Linked DNA regions of Callithrix jacchus. The protein of the gene in region 1 interacts with the protein of each later gene in a pairwise test. Links are inferred from orthologs where the notes say so. Each region holds a gene or a part of one and is shown in the gene's direction. Other genes may lie near its edges.

Region 1 (3,986 bases):
GGTTCAAGCAATTCTCCTGCCTCAGCCTCCCGAACAGCTGGGATTACAGGCATGCGCCACCATGCCCAGCTAATTTTTGTATTTTCCATAGAGACGGGGTTTTACCATGTTGACCAGGATGGTCTCGATGTCTTGACATCGGCCTTGGCTTCCCAAAGTGCTGGGATTACAGGTGTGATCCACCTCGCCCAGCCCATATACTATTTCTCATTTATTCAGTCCCCTCTTCTGAGCTATTTACGTTGTTTCCAACTTTTCCTAATTTTGAGAAAAAAAAAAAAAAGAGCTTCAAGAAATGTCCTCTGCCCATATACACTATTCTTTCCTCAGGATAAATCTGCAGGCCTAGAATTGTTTTGGTAATGCAGACAGCTCTCACCAAATAATCCTCGGAAGAAGTTGGCCCTCGCCATGGGCGAGTGCCTTTTCAGCATACTCGTAAGTAAGAAATTTCAAAAGAATCAGGAGCTGTTGATATCCCAAATTAGTTTTCTTTCCTCTCCCAGCATATGGCTTTTAAAAGGCTCTGGGAATTTCACTGTTTTAATTTCATAGAGAAAACAATGTGTGGCTCGAGAAACCCTTATAATCATGCATGAGCAGGGAGGAAGGGAGGGAGAGAAATTTCTGCAAATGTATTTCACCCATGGCTTCCCAAATGCCTGCCATTTATTGAGCCTATTGTTCGGGCTTCCCTAACATCCTCTCACCCAAGCAAATGAACTCATAAGCCAAAGAGAAGGTCAGTGAGCTCTTTCCGGAAGGCAGCACTAGGAATCCACATTTCCCAGCTCACAGAGGGGCTGTGGGGCCTGGGGGAAGTGTCCCTCCACTCCTGGGCCTCCATGCCAGGCACCTAATCTGAGGGGTGGACAGAAGTGCAGCTGGGCAGCCTGTTGGAGGTTCTACCTCTTGTTTGCCAAAGTAAGGTCCCTTTCTGGCACTGGTGGCCTTTCCACTTCAGCTACCCTTTGGGTTGCTGGAAAATGTGAGGTCTGAGGTGACCTTGAGGCAGGCAGGACAAATGAGGACATGGCAGCCCTTTCCCTTCTGGGAGCCGAGGCTCCTTTAATGTGGAGGCCTTAAAAGGCATGTAGGAATCAGGGACTGGGTTCTTATCTCCTGAGCCTGGCCAATGTCCAGATGCACCTTATTTATAGCACCACTGACAAGGGCAGCACAGCTGGCTGGCAGCTGCAGAGAAGGTTGGGGCCATCTAACCAGGCCATCTGCCTGCACGGCTGCTGTCCCTGCTCATCGGGCTGGAGGACAGAAGACAGAACCCTGACACTGCAGGTAAGGACCACTGGTTCCCCATGCCCTTCTCTTACCCTTGCCATCCTTCCCAGCCTAACTCTGCAGCAGGCTTGGACAGCAGTTGTGTAGGCATCTTGCTCCATGCACAGGGAGCGTCCCAGGCCTGGGAGGAAGCTCTCAGGCACTGGGAGCTCACTGACCCCAGCAGAAATGCAGGTGGTGCTGGCTGCTGGCTCCTACCAATGGCAAAGCCCAGGAACGGAAGCCACCCTGCCCAAAGATACAGGGTCCTTGGCTTGAAGATAGAGAACCCTGCTCATTGGGAATGAGGAGAGGTTTAAATGAAATTGAGCCCCTGCCTCCACTCAGTGGGAATCCATTTTGAACACCAGAAAACATTTTTTAAGGGGAAAGCAAAAGAAGAAATATTATAAACATTGGAAACGGGGAAAACCACAGTGCACTTGAACTTTTTCTCCCTGACAGAATTTCCGGAAAGCCTGGGCTGAAATGGCAAATTACTGATGAGTCTGATTACTCTGGGAAAGTGTGTTTATACAACATGACTCTTAGTGGCTGATGGTTTGAAAGTCCAGAGAGCTGTTGCATGCTTTAAAAAGGAAATGCATGAATATTTTACAATTTCCAGAGCAGGGCAAACTCTAGGATGTACAGTCCTGAGTAACGCCCTGGCCAATTGTGTAATAATCTCAATACTGATAGGGTGACATATATATGATAATAGACATCATCTATATAAATATCTTCTAGCCAGACTCCATGCAAGACACTTTATCAAGTCTAATCTAAAAAGAAAAGAAAAAGTTGTCAGTCCAGTTTTTGTTTCTAAATTATTCTGAAGTCCGAAGAGTGTTAATAAATACCTGCATTACAGGTTAACGCTGTTGTAGCTCATATTTGCTGTATGTAAGTTTATTTTCATTGTTTTATTTGTTTCTTGAAGAATATTATTTGAATTTTATTTTATTGCTAGGCTTTTACAATTTTATTGATACATGAATAGAATTTACATATGTATGGGGTACATGTGAGTAGTTCAGTACATACACAGAATGTGTAATGATCAAATCAGGGTTTTGGGGTATCCAGGATGGGCTGGAATAAGGTTTATTATATGTTGAGATCATTCTGACCCAAGTTTTTATATTTAATTGAGTAGCTGACTAATCGACTCAAATGATTACATTTTGGAGGCTTTTTCTTATATTAAAAATATTTTAAAATATAACTTCCATGAAAAGTTGCATATTTTCCAACACAGGGTTCCCAGACTGCTCACCCATCACCTGTCTTTTAGAACATTTCTTACTTTTAAGTCTCATTGTTCTATTTAGAGCTTCCAGAGTTCTCCATTGATTTCAGATCCCCGAGGCTAGGCCAAGCCATGCCTCTCACTGCATTCCCATGACCTGAAGCACAGGGATGGACACACTTTCCACTGATCTCTAAAATATTTCATATTTACAATACATGGCCCAGAGACTGATTTTAATTCATTCTCTCTCCACCAAAGAATGAGTTAAAATTATATTGAGTGCTTACATTTTCTTTTTTTACTCTACAAATAATCTACGTTTACTATAAAAAATACAGACCAGCAACAAGAAGAAAATGGAAAATTATATATACTCTTATTACTCAAAAGATAACTATTCTTGCAATTTATTGTTGATTTTAATTATTTATTGATTCTAAGGTATCTTTGACTGAAAGACGTAAACCATTCACTTCATAGATTTTTTTTTTAATCCCACTATGAGATATTTTAAGGTGAATCCAAAAACATTAAGTTATTTGGGAAACTGTAAATTATAATTAACAGAAACATATATACATCAATCAAATTACTTGGTAATCTGCTTTCTGTCCAATTTATGGTCAATGCCTCTTACAGCTGTTTCAAAATCTAATTCCTTGAAAATTGGTTATCTCTATATATCGTTATGACCCATTTTGGTTAGTCAATATATTAAAATATTCATAATAGTTGGATGGATGAAGAGTCAAAGGGCATAAAGATTTAGATAAGATATTTTGTTAGAATATAGCGATATAACATCAGTTCAAAGTATGATCTGGTAATTGATTTCTACACTAGTACTGGTCCCTTTCGAATCATGAAAAATTCAACCATCTTGTGCCTTGATCTACATGCCCCCCCATGCCTTACAAATCTGGTTTACTGATTTTTTTTTATTCCATTGATTTATCAGCACCTCCTCACTTAGTCTCTAATACACTAAAATATGGATGAAAAACAGAAAAGAACCAACATAAGTGCTGAGTAATTTAATGTGTTACAATTTGGGATTTTATTTGAATTTAATGGATACATTTTAGATAGGGAAAAGAGGAATAAAAATTCATTTTAACACAGGACTTTTGTTGCGGTTAAAGAGCAATGCTGAAAAATTAAGCTGAACTAAAACCATCTGAAGCCAACAATTCATAAAACATACTTGATGTGTTTTATTAAGGGGGAGCATACAATTAGGTATTAAGAGGAAAGTGCAAGAATTTCATTCTGCTCTTTTATTATTATTTTATGACTTTTTTTTTTTTCCGAGACAGAGTCTTGCTCTGTCACCCAGACTGGAGTGCAGTGGCACAATCTCAGCTCACTGCAACCTCTGCCTCCCGGGTTTAAGTGATTCTCCTGCCTCAGCCTCCCAAGTAGCTGGAACTACAGGCATGTACCACCACACCCT
Region 2 (3,361 bases), on another chromosome or scaffold:
TTGTTGAAAGCAGGAGCCACTGTTTTATGTGGAGAGACTCCATAAATATTTGCCAATGATTCATTAGGAAAGCAACCATTGGGGGAATCCCACTTGGTCATTTCCAAGATGACCAGCATCTTAGAACAGCAGGTTCCCAAATGTCTAGGGAGGTGACAAGAAGACAAGCAAAGAATACAGAGCACAGCATCCTGCTGCAATACAGGACTTAGTTTGCCCGCCCTCTGGTTCCTTTCCTGGTCATTCAGATAAAGCTGGAGCTACTTCAGCAGGGGTAGGAATAATGAAGTCCAGGTGGCCCGCCCTTCCACAGCAGAAAGGGACAGACAATAGAGCAATGAAATTACCATTGTTTTCCGCACAGAGATGTGTGGAAAGTGAGGAGAGGGGAAGAAATTTGCTGACCCAATGGGGGGCTCCTAAAAAGGTTTATATCGAAATTGTCCCATCTGTGCCTCCATATTTAAAACCTGGACCAAAATGCTAATTAAATTTACTTACAAAGCACAACTGGGAATATATTTGTTTCGTTATGGAGTTCATGGGGCAGAGGGTCCAGGCTTTTTTTCCCCCATGCAAAAAGCATGGGATCAGGCTTTCTTCTTTTCCCCTGTTGCTCAAATAAATAGCGTTCTTTGCTCAAACCCCCTTTCCCTCCTCCTTCTGCAAACTCAGCGCCTAGCCCAAATCTGTTTTCTTCATTGTAACCTCAGCTTCACCGCAATTAATTTTTTTTCCCTCTGGTCACAAGATAATTCCTGACGCCAGTGAGTCTGGAGGTCAGACGAACAGCAAATTGGGGAACAAGGCGGCACTAATTCCTTACAAGTTTCCCTTGAAAAATCTTTTGCTAAAAAAAAAAAAAAAAAAGCGGGGGAGCTTCTTTGCTGTTCAAGGATTTATGACCTCCGAGGAGCTGTGGGTTCGAACCAGTGTTGGGCTAAGGGCGGACTGGCAGGGGGCATGGAAGCTCAAAGATCTGGGGCGCTGCCAGGAAAAAGCAAATTCTTAAAGTTAATGGTTTTCAGTGATTTTTAAATCCTTGCTGGCGAAGAGGCCCGCCTCTCCCCAGTATCAGCGCTTCCTCATTCTTTGAATCCGCGACTCCGCGGTCTTCGGCGTCAGACCAGCCAGAGGAAGCCTGTTTGCAATTTAAGCGGGCTGTGAACGCCCAGGGGCGGCGGGGGCGGGGCCGAGGCGGGCCATTTTGCATAAAGGGGCGTGCCGTGGAGCGGGCTCTATAAGTGCCGCGGTAGCGAGCGTGCACGTATTGCAAGCCACTGTTGGGGGATTTCGTTGGGTTTTCTCCCACCTCTGGGCACTTCTGGACTCACTTCCCAGCATGAAGGCGCTGAGCCCGGTGCGCGGCTGCTACGAGGCGGTGTGCTGCCTGTCGGAACGCAGTCTGGCCATCGCCAGGGGCCGAGGCAAGGGCCCGGCAGCAGAGGAGCCGCTGAGCCTGCTGGACGACATGAACCACTGCTACTCCCGCCTGCGGGAACTGGTACCCGGCGTCCCGAGGGGCACTCAGCTTAGCCAGGTGGAAATCCTACAGCGCGTCATCGACTACATCCTCGACCTGCAGGTGGTCCTGGCCGAGCCAGCCCCTGGACCCCCCGACGGGCCCCATCTCCCTATCCAGGTAAGCCTTGGAGCTGCGTCAGGGCTGAACACCCAGGCAAAGATGCTGTGGGATCCTCAGAGCCCCCGATTGCCTTATGTAACTCTTCCCGCTTTTCCTCTTCTCAGACAGCCGAGCTTGCTCCGGAACTTGTCATCTCCAACGACAAAAGGAGCTTCTGCCACTGACCCGGCCGTCCTCGCACCGCCTGGTGAGTATCTCCTCCCGTGGGGAGGGAGTTTAAACGGAAGTCCTGGAGTTGGCAGACCTTTTAAAAGATTTCCACCCCCTCGGTTTAGGGAAACCGAGGCCAGAGAGAAGTGACTTGCCCATGGTCGCATCAAATGAATGGTAGAGTCAGTTTCCATGTGATGTGCATTTCAGCCTTAAACGCGCCTCGCTCCTGCCCTCCCGCAGTGGCCAAGGGTCTGGGAAAGTAGATGCGGGTCCGACTAAATAAAAGTCTTTCTGTTTGGAGTTGTATAGGGAGCTGTGTCTTCAACAGCCCCCTCCCAGTTAGTGTCAATTCCAAGTGGGAGGGGTAGTGCAAGCTCCGCCTGTGGTCTTTGGCGCCAACTGGGTGGGGGCAGCGTGGGGCGCGGAGTTATCAGCTGGAGGTAGAGACCAAATTTCCTCCCTGGCGCCGGCCAGTCTGCGGACGGCCCCCGCCTCGGCGCCTTTGGCGGAAACTGACTGCTCCTTGGTCTTCTTTCCTCCCCCGCCCAGAACGCAGGTGCTGGCGCCCGTTTGGCCTGGGACCCCGGGAACCTCTCCTGCCGGAAGCCGGACGGCATGGATGGGCCCCAACTTCGCCCTGCCCACTTGACTTCACCAAACCCCTTCCTGGAGGCTGAACCTGGTGCCCAAGAGCGAAGGACTGTGAACTTGTGTGGCCTGAAGAGCCAGAGCCAGCTCTGGCCACCAGCTGGGCGACGTCACCCTGCCCCCACCCCACCCCCAAGTTTTAAGGACTGTCTTTTCAGAGCATGGAGGTGTGGAGGAGGGAGTGGCTGCTCTCCAGACTCTGCCAAGGCGGCGGCAGAGCTGGTCTTCTGGTCTCCTTGGAGAAAGGTTCTGATGCCCTGATTTATGAACTCTATAATAGAGTATATAGCTTTTGTACCTTTTTTACAGGAAGGTGACTTTCTGTAACAATGCGATGTATATCAAACTTTTTATAAAAGTTAACATTTTGCATAATAAACGATTTTTGAACACTTGTGTATATGACACCCGTGTCCGCTTAAGTACTAATGATGCTTTCTCTCACATGGCTGAAGTTAGGGAGCTTTGGGAAGTAAACTTGTTTGTTCCCATAAAAGGTAGATGAAAAAATGCCCAGCTGAGGAGGACAGGGTGGGGAAAGAAGGTCTCATGATGAGTCCCATGTCCATTGAGGGGTGGGTGCAGAGAAAAGATCTGGGCTCTGCCCCATCATTTCACGGATGAAGAGAAACCAGAGGGACTGGTGCAAGCATGCCGAGCAAGATGGGGGCTCAGGCAGGTTGAGAACTGAGTTCTCATGTCTCTTGAGATCAGTAGCTTTCTGTTTTATTGTCACTTAATTATTCACTATGCCTTTCTAGCCAGGGATGTGGTAAGAGCTGAAAGAACCTCAAGTGTTGCCTCACCTGGTGCCCAGACATGGGTGGTGGTTGATAGACCAATACAGAAATGAATAAACTGATAACTGGGCCTGGTTTCATTTCCTTTTTGCTTTCTGGGCTGACTTCCTTGTGG
Region 3 (4,289 bases), on another chromosome or scaffold:
TATCAGTGCGTCACAAGTAGTAAGCATTGTTTTCGGAAACCTTATTACACTCTCATGCAAACAGAAGCGTAGTGGTCAGTATGCAAAATTTTCTCATGATGGGTTATGGTTTTTTTGTTTTTGTTTTAACCCATTACTCTAAGGTGTAGATGTGATCAACCTCGTTTTACTGATGAGGACACGAGGGTCAGGGAGCTTCGGTACCCTGCCTAAGTTAGTGGCATGAGTAGGTTTTCTGCAGCCAGAATGGATTCCCTCACTAAAAGCCAGGCAGTCTTCCGAAGTTGTCGGAAGAGACTTGGGAGCAAAGATAAAACCATCGCGCCAAGCGCAGTGGCTCATGCCTGTAATCCCAGCACATTGGGAGGCCGAGGCGGGTGGATCACCTTAAGTCAGAAGTTCGAGACCAGTCTGACCAACATGGTGAAACCTCGTCTTAAAAAAAAAAAAAAACACCAAAAAACTACCCGGTTAGTGCTTACCAAGTGCTTTACCTCATTTCGAGGTAAGGGCAAGTGGGCCAAGCAGTGCTTCTTCTTTTTTTTTTTTTTTTCCTCTTCAGAAGTGACGCTCTGACTGGCGTAGCCCCGGGAGAGTGCATCTCAAACTCGAGCGTGCAATTATGTCTACGGGAGGCCCTTGTTAAAATGCAGATTCTAGGCACGACCCGTGAAGTACCAAGTCGAATTAGAAGAAGCGGCCCGAGGAACCTGCCTTTAGAAAGAACTTCAGATGATTCAGATGCACACGTTAGGGACTGTGGGTTATGGGGGTCGCCGCAATAACCATGTGAGGATTAACGGGGGCTTAACCGATTGGGAAAATCCCCTCAGAAGCGTCGCGTAACAATCCAACTCCCTCTACGGTGCCGGACCCCAGTGCTTCGCCCCCCCCGAGGCGATGACAAGCGGGGAACTAAATAAAAGGTTGGTGGCTTTCCACTCACCAAGCATAGGGTTGAGTGGCAGCCGGCTACTGCCGAAGAGCCCGTGAAAGCTCCTGGCACACCTGGGAGAGAGTGGGCTTAAGGCGCAATGTATACGCTGTTTATGAGGCATTTGTGGGCCTCACCCTAATGACTTCTGATTGGCTTCAGGGCAAATCTATCACTCATCCTCTGGGTTAGAGGTGGGTGGAAGGTCAACCACGACCAATACAAAAGCACTCCTAGGATAAGCCCCTCCCCTTCCAGCTTCCTGTTGCTGTCCATCAACCACCCAGTAGGCGGGACTTTGACTCCCTCCAATTGGCTGGTGAACATGTCGTTCATTCTTCAATTGGCTTCCGGTTGGTGGGTTTTACCGTCGATCAGTGACATTGCATAAACCTATTGGCCAAGTCAACGTCGCTCTAGACGCCTCTGGTTGATTGGTTAGTAATGCTGTCGGTCCCCAATGTTCCAAGCGCTTATTGGTGAAGGCTGCCGTCGCTCGGGCGGTGGCGGGCTCCGGGATTGGCGGGTGCTAGGCGGGCGGTGTCAGGCTCTCGGTGGCGGCGGAGGCGGCGGAGGCCAGGGAGGAAGATGTCGTAATGAGCGGTGGGTCCCGGCCCCTGCCGGCGGGGTCTTCCCGGCCCCCAAGGGTCAGGAAGACGGGCAGAGGCCGCGGGGAGGGGGAGCCGAGGCCGGGGGTTCCCCCCTGGGGCCGGGCCTGACGCCGGGGCCCGGCTTCGGGAGGGGCGGGGGAGGGAGGATTCCCGCCCGGAGGAGGAGCGGGGCTGGCCAGCCGGGCGGAGGCACCCGGAAGGGGGCGTTCGACTCCCCGCCTCCTCGGAGCCCGCCGGGCGGGAGGGCGGCGCTTCCGGGGGCCAGCGAGAGTAGCGGGCACCGGGGCGGCCTGGCACCCCTCAGTCGGGTGCCGACCCATCTCAAAACTGCTCGCCCGCCTGGGCGGACTATGCTTGAGTCTGCTTCGAGGAGGCAGCCGACAGCCCTCGTGCTTGCCTCGTGTTTGAGGGGCCTTCTTGCACTCTTAACTGTAGATGCCCACCAGCGATTAAGGGCTCCCCGGAGCACAGAGAGGGGCGAGGGAACGCTTGAGATCCAGATGGACACTGCTGGGCGTCGACGCCAGCCCGGTTACCGATGTATCCTAATCGGGAGATGGTGTCAGGACACGAGGGCACTCCCTAGGCAGATCACCTCTCACTGGGTAGTGGGCAAAAACCTTCCTTTAATGTTTGCACTTGGATCCTTGAGCCTCCAGCTAGATATCTGCCAGCTCTTAGCAGAATTATGAGAAGTTTGGAACTTGTTGCCAAAGCTCCCAGCCTGTTACCTGACGCCCCTTGGGGGAGACGGCTGCAATCCCAAAGCTCAGGTGCAAACAATCTTAAGGAATTACAGAAGAAATAGAATAGAAACTTGCTCTCTTCCTCAACACACCTTCATCCCCTTTCCTGACTTGCTTCTTACCCATGCTTCTTATGTTTCCTTCTCAGCGGCTTTCTAATTTTAGTTCAAAAGGAACTATGTCTTTGGGCAACTGAGAAACCTGTCCTCACTGCATTCCTTGGTTGTGATTCCAATATCCTGTCATGTTTGTTCCTTAATTAACTTCATCCAAGGGGACTCAGTCTGGCTTTTCTCAGTGCATTCTCGCAAAGTTCTTTCTTTTTCTGCGGTTACTTCTTGTTCACTTACTGTTTCCTAGAGAAAGGTATGAGCCAGTAGATCTGCTTTAAACAATGAATTGACTCAAGTTTCCCGTTACACAGATTTCATTACAGATGGAAGGACACTGACTGTTTCAAGGTGCACTGGCATGCACTGTCTAAAACGTTTTCGTGCTGTACCCCAGAAGGCATTCAGTTTCAAGTGGAGGGCTGTATTGAGGTGGCATTCTGGATTACGATTTTTAGGGCTAGGAAGTTTACAGTGTTGGCCAGCCTCACAGGCTGCAGAGGGAACAATGGTGGAGTCCAGACCGCAGCAGTAATTTCAATTACTAACATAAAGAAACCCATTGTCTGCAATAATGAATATAACTGCAGTGTCTTGTTTTGTTTTAAATTCTTGTGTGTGATGAAGGGGGCGAATCTATCAGACAGCCTATCAATTGGGCTGATGATGTCAGTGTTCCAGTGGCTTCTAACAGGCATTAATACCTGTTGGAAATGGAATCTTATTGGCTGGGGCAATTGGTAAGTTTTCTAATTCTAGTTCTTCCTCTTGGTTGTACAGAGGCTTAACCTCTTTGGGTAAAAGTAACTGCAAGGCTGGACGCGGTGGTTCACGCCTGTAATCCCAGCACTTTGGGAAGCCGAGGCAGGTGGATCATGAGATCCTGAGTTTGAGACCAGCCTGGCCAACATGGTGAAACCCCGTCTCTACTAAAAAAATACAAAAATTAGCCGGACGTGGTGGTGCGCACCTATAATCCCAGCTACTCAGGAGGCTGAGGCAGGAGAATCGCTTGAACCTGGGAGGCGGAGGTTGCAGTGAGCCGAGATGACGCCATTGCACTTCAGCCTGGGCAATAAAGAGAGACTCTTAAAAAAAAAAGCTAGTCTGACATAATGAGCCTCCGTGAGCTAGGCTGCTGAAGCCACAAGCTCTGCCAGGGAGACGCAAGTAGAGTTTGTTCATAATTAGATCCTCACCTGACTGCCCAACAGGGAGAACTGGCTCCAGGAGGAAGAGTTTGGCATCACTGTGGACAGCAGATAGACTGGCCACTTTTCTCTCTCGGATTCTATTAAAGTTTGGGCCTCTGGAGGTCTGTCAGAGAGGAGAAAAGAAATTATAAGATTTGGGCAAGCTGGGCATAGTGGCTCAGGCCTGTAATCCCAGCATGATGGGAGGCCAGGGTGGGCAGATCACTTGAGGTCAGGAGTTCGAGACCAGCCTAGTCAACACTGACTAAAACCAACCCTGTCTCTACTAAAAATACAAAAATTAGCTGGGCATGGTGTCCCGTACTTGTAATCCGAGCTACTTGGGAGACTGAGGCAGGAGATTTGCTTGAACCCAGCGGGAGGAGGTTGTATGTAGTGAGCCAAGATTGTGCCACTGCACTCCAGCCTGTGCGACAGGGTGAGACTCCATCTCAAAAAAAAAAAAAAAAAAAAAAAAGATTTGGGCAGATGTCTGGGGTAAAGAAACTTTTTATTCGGCAAGTAGAGTGGTTGGTTCATTTTGATATTTTGGCCTTGAACTTCTTAGTTCTTCCGATGGTTAATAGCAGCCTTTTAGAGAAGCTGAACAGCCCTTTGCTACAGGTCTGTAGCAGTTCCCAAGCTTACTGTAAGCAAGTATAGTATTCCCCAATCAGGGCCCTTATGAAGACATC
Region 4 (4,229 bases), on another chromosome or scaffold:
CATTTAGGCAATTACTGTTCAAAATATCTATGGACTCTACTAGACTTAAGATTCAGAAAGGCAGAAGCCACATATACCTTGTTCGTAGCTGGATTTCTCAGTGCTAGGACTCTCAATACATGTCTGTTGAAATGATGATTACATTCACCCTTGCATATAGCTATTTGAGTCCCTCCCTAATCCCAATTCTCAAATTCTTTGAGGGAAAAGAATAAGTAAATCTCAAGTATAGGATTATCCTCAAAATGTATCAATACTAATACATATATTTCTTTGGAGGAATGAAGGAAACAGTTACATGCAGCCGACTGTGCTGGACTCTGGACTCTTTTTTTTTTTTTTTTTTTTTAAGGTGGGGGACAGAGGCTGGCTCTGTCGCCCAGGCTGGAGCGCAAGGGCGCGATCTCGGCTCACTACAACGTTCGCCTCCCGGATTCAAGCGATTCTCCTGCCTCAGCCTCCCTAGTAGCTGGGATTACAGGTACCCACCACCGCGCCCGGCGGATTTTTGTATTTTTAGTAGAGACGGTGTTTCGCCATGATGGCCAGGCTGGTTTCGAACTGCTGACCTCAAGTGATCCGCCCGCCTCGGGCTCCCAAAGTGCTGAGATTACAGGCGTGAGACACCGCGGCCTGACTAGACTCTTTAAAGGAGTCGGGACCTGCAGTCGGGGCACCCGGTGTAAATAATTCTGAGCAGCTCCAGGTGCTAAGCCCAGCGAACACGTGCTGCGGCCAGGAGCCGGGAGGGCGCGCTTCGCGGAGGAAGATCACCGGCGACCCGAACGTGCTCGCGCCCGTCGCTACCGTTGTCGGTGCCGCTGTCCAACCTAGTACACGTGCGCCAGCTGGGCCCGAGCAGAGGGAGAGTCGCGGCTCTTGCGGGGAAAATGGAGGGCGAGCCATGGGTCAGGGGTCGGGAAAAGTGTGGGGCGCATTATGCCCAGGGAGGGAAAAGCACTGAACCAGAAGCTCGGAGGCACAGAGAGGAAAAAGGGCGGATCACGAGCTAGGTAAGGCGGACGGACCTAGGTCTCGGAAGGAAGGGGGCGGGGAACGACGGGGCGGGAGGGGCCGCGCAGCAGCTGGGCTGGGAGGACGTTTGGCGAGTTCATTCTAGGTTCAAGTCGGAAAGTGTCGGCACCGGGAGTCAAGCTGCGGGGCGGTGAGAGGTGGAATGGCGGCGACTTAGGTTCCCAGCTTCTGGCACAGCCAGTCCCCAAACGAGCCCAAGTACCCCGCAGCCCGGTTTCCTTTCTGAACGCAAGTCCTCGCCCTTAGTGAGCGCCAAATCCCCGCGCTCGGGCCCGCCCATCCACTGAGGGGTGTGGGTAGGGGCGTGGCCCGTTCCCCCGCTGGTCGGCGCCCGGAAGCCGTTGGCGTCAGCCGGAGCCCGACGCGGTGACGCCGTACGTCGACGTAAGTGATGCGCAAGCCTGGGCCGCCCCTCCTTCTCTCAGTGAGTGCCGGCCCGGTCGGGGCGGGGGAGAAGAGGGAGGGCGGGGGAGGGAGAGGCGACCCGAGAGTCGTTGTGGGCCGCGGGCCGGACCGGGTCCCGGGGCGGCGGGAGCCCGGGCTGGGCAGAAGCGCTGGGCGGGCCGTTAGAGGGCCTTCGCGGCTGTCGAGTCCCCTCCCTTGTCGGACTTGCGCGCCCCGGCGCTCTGAGCCTCCGGCGCTGTGCCCACCCCGCTCCAGCTCGCGTCTCCCGACTCCAATTAGGTCAGGCTCGGAGTCCCGCGGCCGCGGCTCCGGCCCCCAACGCTGGGCGCCTCTCGGCTCGCCTTTCTTTCTTCCCTCGCCTTCCTCTCCTCTTGCCTCACCCTCCCCCCTTCTTTTCACGTTGCTGGGTTTTTTTGTTGTTGTTGTTTTATGCTTTAGGGGTTTTGTTCCTCAACCCGAGCTCATGGGTGTACATTATCATGCTCTTCTTTTGTAGAGCAACCCGACGGCCATGGAGGCTGAAGAGACGATGGAATGCCTTCAGGAGTTCCCTGAACATCATAAAATGATCCTCGACCGATTGAATGAACAGCGAGAGCAGGACCGGTTTACTGACATCACCCTGATTGTCGACGGTGGGTAGGGAAGTGGGCAGAAGAACGAATTTTTGGCTTTAGTTTTTCTCTGTCCTGCGGACACCCGCCTTTTTTTCTTTAAACCCATCCTGTATGGTCTCCCTACCAAAGTCTTCAGAGTGTGTACACTGGGACCAGATTGCACTTGTCAGTGTCCACTCACACAGAGCGTGCTGCAGAAGGCTGGTTGGCCAGTCACGCTTTCCACGTAGTCTGGTGTTCCTCTCATTTTAACTTCTTGCATCCTGTTGAAGTTTTCTCTTTGCACTTGAGTGCAATATGATGGCGTTGGGGATAGGACGTCTCAAAATGTTTGGTTGATAGCCTCTTGTTGGTAAGCTGCTTTGAGAAGTCCCTCACAGGAGGCATTTGGGAAGTTGATTCTTTTCTGGTTTCCCAAATGGTCTTGGAGGGAGAATGTGAGAGATTCCTTTGCAGCACTCATACCCCCTTGGAGAATCTCCAAAATAAAATGGGTCTTTACAGTCTTAGGAGTTGCCACTGTAATAGAAGCAAATCTAGCTTGGATATCTTTTCTGTTTAGTGAAAATAGGTTTCTTAAGATAAGCTGCTTTTAAAATTATCGGTCTACCATAGATTGAGCTTTCAAATATTAGGCATATTAAAATGTTTTTCATAGCAGACATATCCAGCTTTGTGCTTATGGCTTTTTCTCTCTTTCCAAATGATATGTGACCTTTTGGGTTGTCCTTTTATTTAGCTGTTTCAACTGAATTGAATATGCTTCTCACTAATTCGAAATAACAAAGTGGTAAGAGGCTCCTTATTTAGTGTTGTAAATTAGCCTTTATAAAACTAACTTAAGGTGTTTGAAGTGAAGATTTAGCTTAATATTTGAGATTAAAATTTGCCAAGATAGCTGCCAAGAATATTCTGCATTTAGTTCAATAATTTTATAGTTATGTAATTATCAAGAAAGGCCTATTTTGCTTTTTATGATTTTAAAATCTCTTTTATAGTTATACATTTAATTTTTGTGCTTGTGTATGATTTTCTTTTTTTTTTAATTTTTATCTAGGACACCATTTTAAAGCTCACAAGGCTGTTTTGGCTGCTTGCAGTAAGTTTTTCTACAAATTCTTTCAGGAGTTTACCCAAGAACCTTTGGTGGAGATAGAAGGTAAATGCTTGTTTTATTTTTTTATTTTTTATTTATTTAATAACTCAAGTCATTTTATTTACATATTTGTTTTAAATACAATACTGGAATTTAAATACTTGTGTATAGCAAACAGTTGGTGAAGCAGTTTTAGTCCGTTTATCAAGACACCATAGGAAATAAGCATCAATAGTTCCTATAGGTAAGTAGATAAATTGTTCTTTGGATACCTGAGAATTCTTTGTTTCAGTAAAGTGCTTGGTTGAATGATCTTCTAGGAAAAACTTAAGATGGTAGACGTTGGTCTTTTCCATTGTGGAAGCTGGTGGTCATTGTCTTTTAAAAACACGTATTAAAAGTGAATTACCATCTTTGTTCAGTGGGCTTATATTTTAGACTGGTGGAGATGCTGCAGGTTACTAGTAGAACGCTTTACTCTGCTCTTACAGCAGTAGTGTTGTACTAGCAGAGGTACAGGTGACATGCACAGTGTGAAGTGGGCTGCTGTAATAAATAGGGAGAAAGCTAGGAAAGATGAACTGAAGTAGTGTTCAGAGGAAATTCTACTGGTTATTGAATGGGATGGATCAATACCTGTTACCTTGAAACAAAGTGATTTTTGTACTTGCTAGACATTTTTCTAATAACAACCTGCCAACTGCTTGGCATTGTGATATGTAGTTTGTGTCTTATCTAAGGCTCACAGCAATCCTTTGATGCTGGGCACAATGGCTTGTGCTTGTTGTCCCAGCTACTTGGGAGGCTGAGGCAGGAGGATTGCTTGAGCCCAGGAGTTCAAGGCCAGCCTGGGGCAACACAGACTGTGTTTCTTCTTCTTCTTTAAAAAAAGAAAAGAAAAGAAAAAAACCAAAAAAAGAAGTGGTATTATTTCTAATAATTTACCCATCAGGAAAACAGGCTCTAAAAGGTTACTTGCCCAGAGTTGCCCAGCTAGCAAGGAATTAAGTTTGTGCTATTAATTACCATGCTTTTGTCTTCTGCTACTGCAGTAACTCCTTCCCTACCACCATCAA
Region 5 (4,079 bases), on another chromosome or scaffold:
CTAACCACCACAATGCATTGGGGAAGTGCGTGTGGACCCGTCACCTTTTCCAGCAGGCACTGACTCAACAAGAGTCCGACACCAACTTTAGGTCAATCCTTGACACTGCGGAGTCTGTAACTGGGACTGGGATCTTTTGCATAATTGTTTCTACCTGGTCTGCTGAAGTTTGGGCCCGCGCTGCGCTCAACTGCAGTGAACACTTCCCAGTTCGTGGTTCAGTTTTAAAGTGTCCGAACTACGCCCGGCATCTGTCTTCCTGTTGTCACAACTTTTTCAAAAGTGTAAAAACTAAAGCAAGGCTAACGGCAGAGCCCGGTCCCGACAACGACACGCACCTTTGTCCCCAACGCCGACGCGGGCCGCAGACGTCCTCCCGCGGCGGTCCTCATGCCGGCCAGGGCCCCGGGCGGTCGCGCAGCTAGCGGTCGGCTCCCGAGCCGCGGCTCCCCGCCGGCGGGTGGCCCACGCCTCGGCCCATGGCCGGGTCCCCGCGCCCAGAGAAGCTTGGTGTGCCGCGCCGCGCGCCGGTCCAGGAAGAAGCAAAGAAATGCCAACTCGACGTCCGCGCAGCCACTCCGGGGACACCGGGGGGTCGGGAGAGCAGTCGCCGGGCGCCCCGGGAGAACTTGCAGCGCGGGACTCCGCGCTCACACGCCGCCTCCGAAAGCGGCCGTCAGGAGGAGCGCTCCAAAGAACCCGGGCGGTGGGAGCGGACAGGCGCGGACACCCGAGCCTCCCGGCCTGCGGTCAAGCGGAGCCGCCGGGCACGGGAGCCCAGACCTAGGCGGAGGGTGAGTTCCAGGCCGCGCCGAGCTCCGTCAGGGCAGCTCCCGGGCGCAGCGACGCGGCCGACCGGCGCCTCGGGCTCTGGAATGGTCCCGGGGCCCGCGCCGGACTAACGGCCGTAACGGAAGCGCCAAGAGGGGAGGGGCGCCGACTCCAAGGCCCGGGGGCGGGGCGGGCCGCGAGGCCGGCTCCCTCTTGCGCTCAGCCGGTCGCACAGTCGCCGCCGCCGCCTCAGACCGCGGACGCTTCGTTGTCACGAGCCGAAGGGAGGGGGTAGGAGCCGGGAATCTCTACGCTCCGGCGCGCGGAGACCGCGGCGCTCGCATCACGTGCCGCTTGGCCGGCCAATGAGCCCCGACAAGCGCGGTGACGTCAGAGCAGCGGCGTGGCCGATGACAGCCGGCCCCTGTCACGTGGTCTCGCCCACTCCAATGGGCGACGCCGGGGCGACCTGCTGTTCCCGGCGGCCCGTGCGTCGGCGGTGGTTGGGTGGTAAGATGGCGGCTGTGAGTCTGCGGCTCGGCGACTTGGTGTGGTGAGTCCGGGCGGCCGGGCCAACCGAGACGCGCCGGGGAACTGCCCGCCTGGGCGCGGGGTTCGCGGCCGGCCCAGGAGCTGCCTTCCTATGCGCTCCAGGTCGCGGAGAGAGGGGAAGAGAAGGTGCCGGCGCTTGTGAGCGGCGCCGGGCGGAAGGGGCAGTCCAGCCCCGGGGGACCGAGGCCGAGGGTGGCCACGGCGGGCACCGGCTCTGATCTCCGAGGCCGCCCGGGAGGGGGCTGCACTTGGGGCCCAGATATCGGCTGTCATGGTGAAGGGAGCCGCTTGTTCCGCGAGGCTTCCCCGGACACCGGGTCCCCGGGGTCTTGCTGCGACTTCCCAGAAAGCAAAAGCGCCGGGGACCGGACCCGCGAGTCCATCTCGCCGGTGCCAGTCGGTCAAAGCCCTGGTTGCGATGCAGCCGACCTGTGCTGGCCGCGCAACCGGGGGTGTCTTAAACCGGACTGCTTACGTTGCCCCGCGAAGAAACGGCGGGGGGACTTCGCTTTTCCAACCGATGGCTTGGCAGTGACCAGTGCCGGCTTGAGTGCCTCTCGTGGTATGCTTCTGTGTCCCAGACAACCGCCCGAACCAAGACTGATTGTCGCCGCCTCCCTCGAGCTGCGTAGCTTGTTTCTCCACCCAGAGGAAGGCTTCCATTAGCATTTGTCAAAGCCAGGCAGGTCTCCTGTTGAATTAAACCAGACTTAGGGAGGGGAAGTCTGTGTTTACAGAGGAAACTGTCCTCCCACCCCCGTCATTAAGAAGCTCTAGACAAGTGACTTTTGACAATTTTGTTCTGTATTCATTATCAACAGAAGAATGGACATATGCTGTGCACATAAGTATACAATTTTACGTTTTACTTCTGAGGGTCTTGGGCCCAGATGTGGAAGACAGGTTAAGGACTCTCGTTTGCAAGCTTTTGTTCCAGTACTTGAGGATGCCAGCAGAGATTTAGGAAAATAAATAGCGTATTGAGTGGGTTGAAGGAGCTGGACTGGCTTTTCCAGGGCAAGTGCTGACTCTGTGTGTTTTCTCTAGGGGGAAACTCGGCCGGTATCCTCCTTGGCCAGGAAAGGTGAGTGTCTTGCTACTGAAGGAAGATAACCGAAGATGGGTATGAGGAGGTGGAAAATATAAGATTCATTCCTCTAAATTTCTAGCATTGAGTTAAACGGGGCCAATTCAGATGGCACTTAGAATTCCCCCGAGTTTTTTTTTTTTTAAAGGCCATACGGTATACACCAGGTCGTTAATCTGCTCTAAACACTATTTGTTGATTTAGAGGACGTTTACGAAGTGTCTTTTTTTTTTTTTTTAACCCCGGAAATAATTCTAATCTGAATTTAGCTTCATGTTTAAATGTAACAAAAGGAGAAGAAAATATAAATTATCCAGGAAGAGAGAGAAGTCTAAATGTAGGTTAGTGAAAAGCCAAAGTATTTTTGTCCCAACTAAGTTTAAATCTTCTTTCTGTGTTACCATATGTGCTACTCCGGTGCCTCTTTGCAGAAGTTGGCATTCCAGATTTTGCATGAGGTGATCTGTCATTGCTTTCCAAATGTTCCGTTTTTATATTCTTGTTCAGAACCCAGGAAGTGTCTTTAGATGGTCTCTTTGCAATATGGTGTTTTCAGTTGTCCTTTGTTTTCACTATTTCCTATCTAACTCTTCCTGCACAGGAAGTATTTCAAAGAGTATCCTCTGCATTTCTTCCGTAACCACTGTCACATGTTGTGGGGGCAGCAAGGGGGCAGGGGATGCTGTTGATTTAACTGCTGGTAAAGCAGGGCCACTGCAGTGAAAGGGATATTGTGTTTACTAAGCCCTGCGCTACATGTTAGATATTGGGAACTTCCAGAATATCTGCATGTTTCCACACATCTCAGTCGAAAAATGGGAGATTTAGGCAAGTACTGGCCTTGGGTTCTGTTTTGTACATGAATAAATTTGTTTATAAGTAAGTCTTTTAATTGACTTTTTTCTTACCAACGTAGAGCTCTGTAGAGCACTGTGGAGCCACGAGAAAGCGGGCTGCTACGTTGCCAGCCAATCTTTTTCCCCCTTTTACTCTCCAGATTGTTAATCCACCAAAGGACCTGAAGAAACCTCGTGGAAAGAAATGCTTCTTTGTGAAATTTTTCGGAACAGAAGACCAGTGAGTAGTGGTCACCTGGAGTCTCCCTTTGCCTTTCTTTCTGTGTTACCTGGAGTTTGAGCTGTTTTGAGAGTATTCTCAGGATCCTTAGTTCAGTCTTCTTATAGTGTATAAGACTGGCATCTCATTCTGGCTTCATACCTAAATAAAGGTGCAGTTGTCTGCAGAAATTGTCTTAGAAGAGCCATGCTCAGTTCTCTTTGAATGCTATATTATCATTATGGTTCATGCATGAGGTATAGAGTGAAAACTAAAATTTTATTTATATTAATAAAAGTTCTTGTTCTCATTTGTAAAACTAAGTGATTTGCTTTGACATTATTATAGTAAGCCTTTTTAACAGATCTGTCCTAAAGTTGAGCAAGCCAAGACCATTCATCTGAGACTCTGACCACATAGCATGTCACAGTGAGGGGAAGAACGTGTATTAACTTGAGTTACTAGTGATTTGTTTGGCTTTCTCATCACTGCATCAACTTGCTTACCTCAGTCTAGCTAGATGGTTTGATTTCTTTTTTTTTTTTGAGATGGAGTTTCACTCTGTCACCCAGACTGGAGTGCAGTGGCATGACTTCAGCTCACCGCAACCTCC

What was found. The genes of interacting proteins can lie anywhere in the genome.
Region 2: the proteins of FHL2 (region 1) and ID3 interact in binary tests that used the Homo sapiens proteins (3 or more experiments, as listed by UniProt). The link is inferred for Callithrix jacchus from reciprocal best matches to the Homo sapiens genes FHL2 and ID3.
Region 3: the proteins of FHL2 (region 1) and SP2 interact in binary tests that used the Homo sapiens proteins (3 or more experiments, as listed by UniProt). The two-hybrid records come from large-scale screens. The link is inferred for Callithrix jacchus from reciprocal best matches to the Homo sapiens genes FHL2 and SP2.
Region 4: the proteins of FHL2 (region 1) and ZNF131 interact in binary tests that used the Homo sapiens proteins (3 or more experiments, as listed by UniProt). The two-hybrid records come from large-scale screens. The link is inferred for Callithrix jacchus from reciprocal best matches to the Homo sapiens genes FHL2 and ZNF131.
Region 5: the proteins of FHL2 (region 1) and GLYR1 interact in binary tests that used the Homo sapiens proteins (3 or more experiments, as listed by UniProt). The two-hybrid records come from large-scale screens. The link is inferred for Callithrix jacchus from reciprocal best matches to the Homo sapiens genes FHL2 and GLYR1.

What each region holds. Positions count from the first base shown.
Region 1 is NC_133515.1:15,512,190-15,516,175, reverse strand, and holds the start of FHL2 (four and a half LIM domains protein 2), read left to right. Parts: upstream 1-1,181; 5' UTR 1,182-1,296; intron 1,297-3,986. UniProt on the Homo sapiens protein: May function as a molecular transmitter linking various signaling pathways to transcriptional regulation. Negatively regulates the transcriptional repressor E4F1 and may function in cell growth.
Region 2 is NC_133508.1:60,314,114-60,317,474, reverse strand, and holds ID3 (DNA-binding protein inhibitor ID-3), read left to right. Parts: upstream 1-1,269; 5' UTR 1,270-1,342; coding exon 1,343-1,642; intron 1,643-1,749; coding exon 1,750-1,809; 3' UTR 1,810-1,832; intron 1,833-2,347; 3' UTR 2,348-2,851; downstream 2,852-3,361. UniProt on the Homo sapiens protein: Transcriptional regulator (lacking a basic DNA binding domain) which negatively regulates the basic helix-loop-helix (bHLH) transcription factors by forming heterodimers and inhibiting their DNA binding and transcriptional activity.
Region 3 is NC_133506.1:118,395,601-118,399,889, reverse strand, and holds the start of SP2 (transcription factor Sp2), read left to right. Parts: upstream 1-1,479; 5' UTR 1,480-1,530; coding exon 1,531-1,537; exon of another isoform or gene 1,538-4,289. UniProt on the Homo sapiens protein: Binds to GC box promoters elements and selectively activates mRNA synthesis from genes that contain functional recognition sites.
Region 4 is NC_133503.1:162,367,732-162,371,960, reverse strand, and holds the start of ZNF131 (zinc finger protein 131), read left to right. Parts: upstream 1-1,419; 5' UTR 1,420-1,426; coding exon 1,427-1,459; exon of another isoform or gene 1,460-1,936; coding exon 1,937-2,075; intron 2,076-3,114; coding exon 3,115-3,216; intron 3,217-4,229. UniProt on the Homo sapiens protein: Plays a role during development and organogenesis as well as in the function of the adult central nervous system. May be involved in transcriptional regulation as a repressor of ESR1/ER-alpha signaling.
Region 5 is NC_133513.1:6,961,185-6,965,263, reverse strand, and holds the start of GLYR1 (cytokine-like nuclear factor N-PAC), read left to right. Parts: upstream 1-1,269; 5' UTR 1,270-1,286; coding exon 1,287-1,324; intron 1,325-2,370; coding exon 2,371-2,407; intron 2,408-3,407; coding exon 3,408-3,487; intron 3,488-4,079. UniProt on the Homo sapiens protein: Cytokine-like nuclear factor with chromatin gene reader activity involved in chromatin modification and regulation of gene expression. Acts as a nucleosome-destabilizing factor that is recruited to genes during transcriptional activation.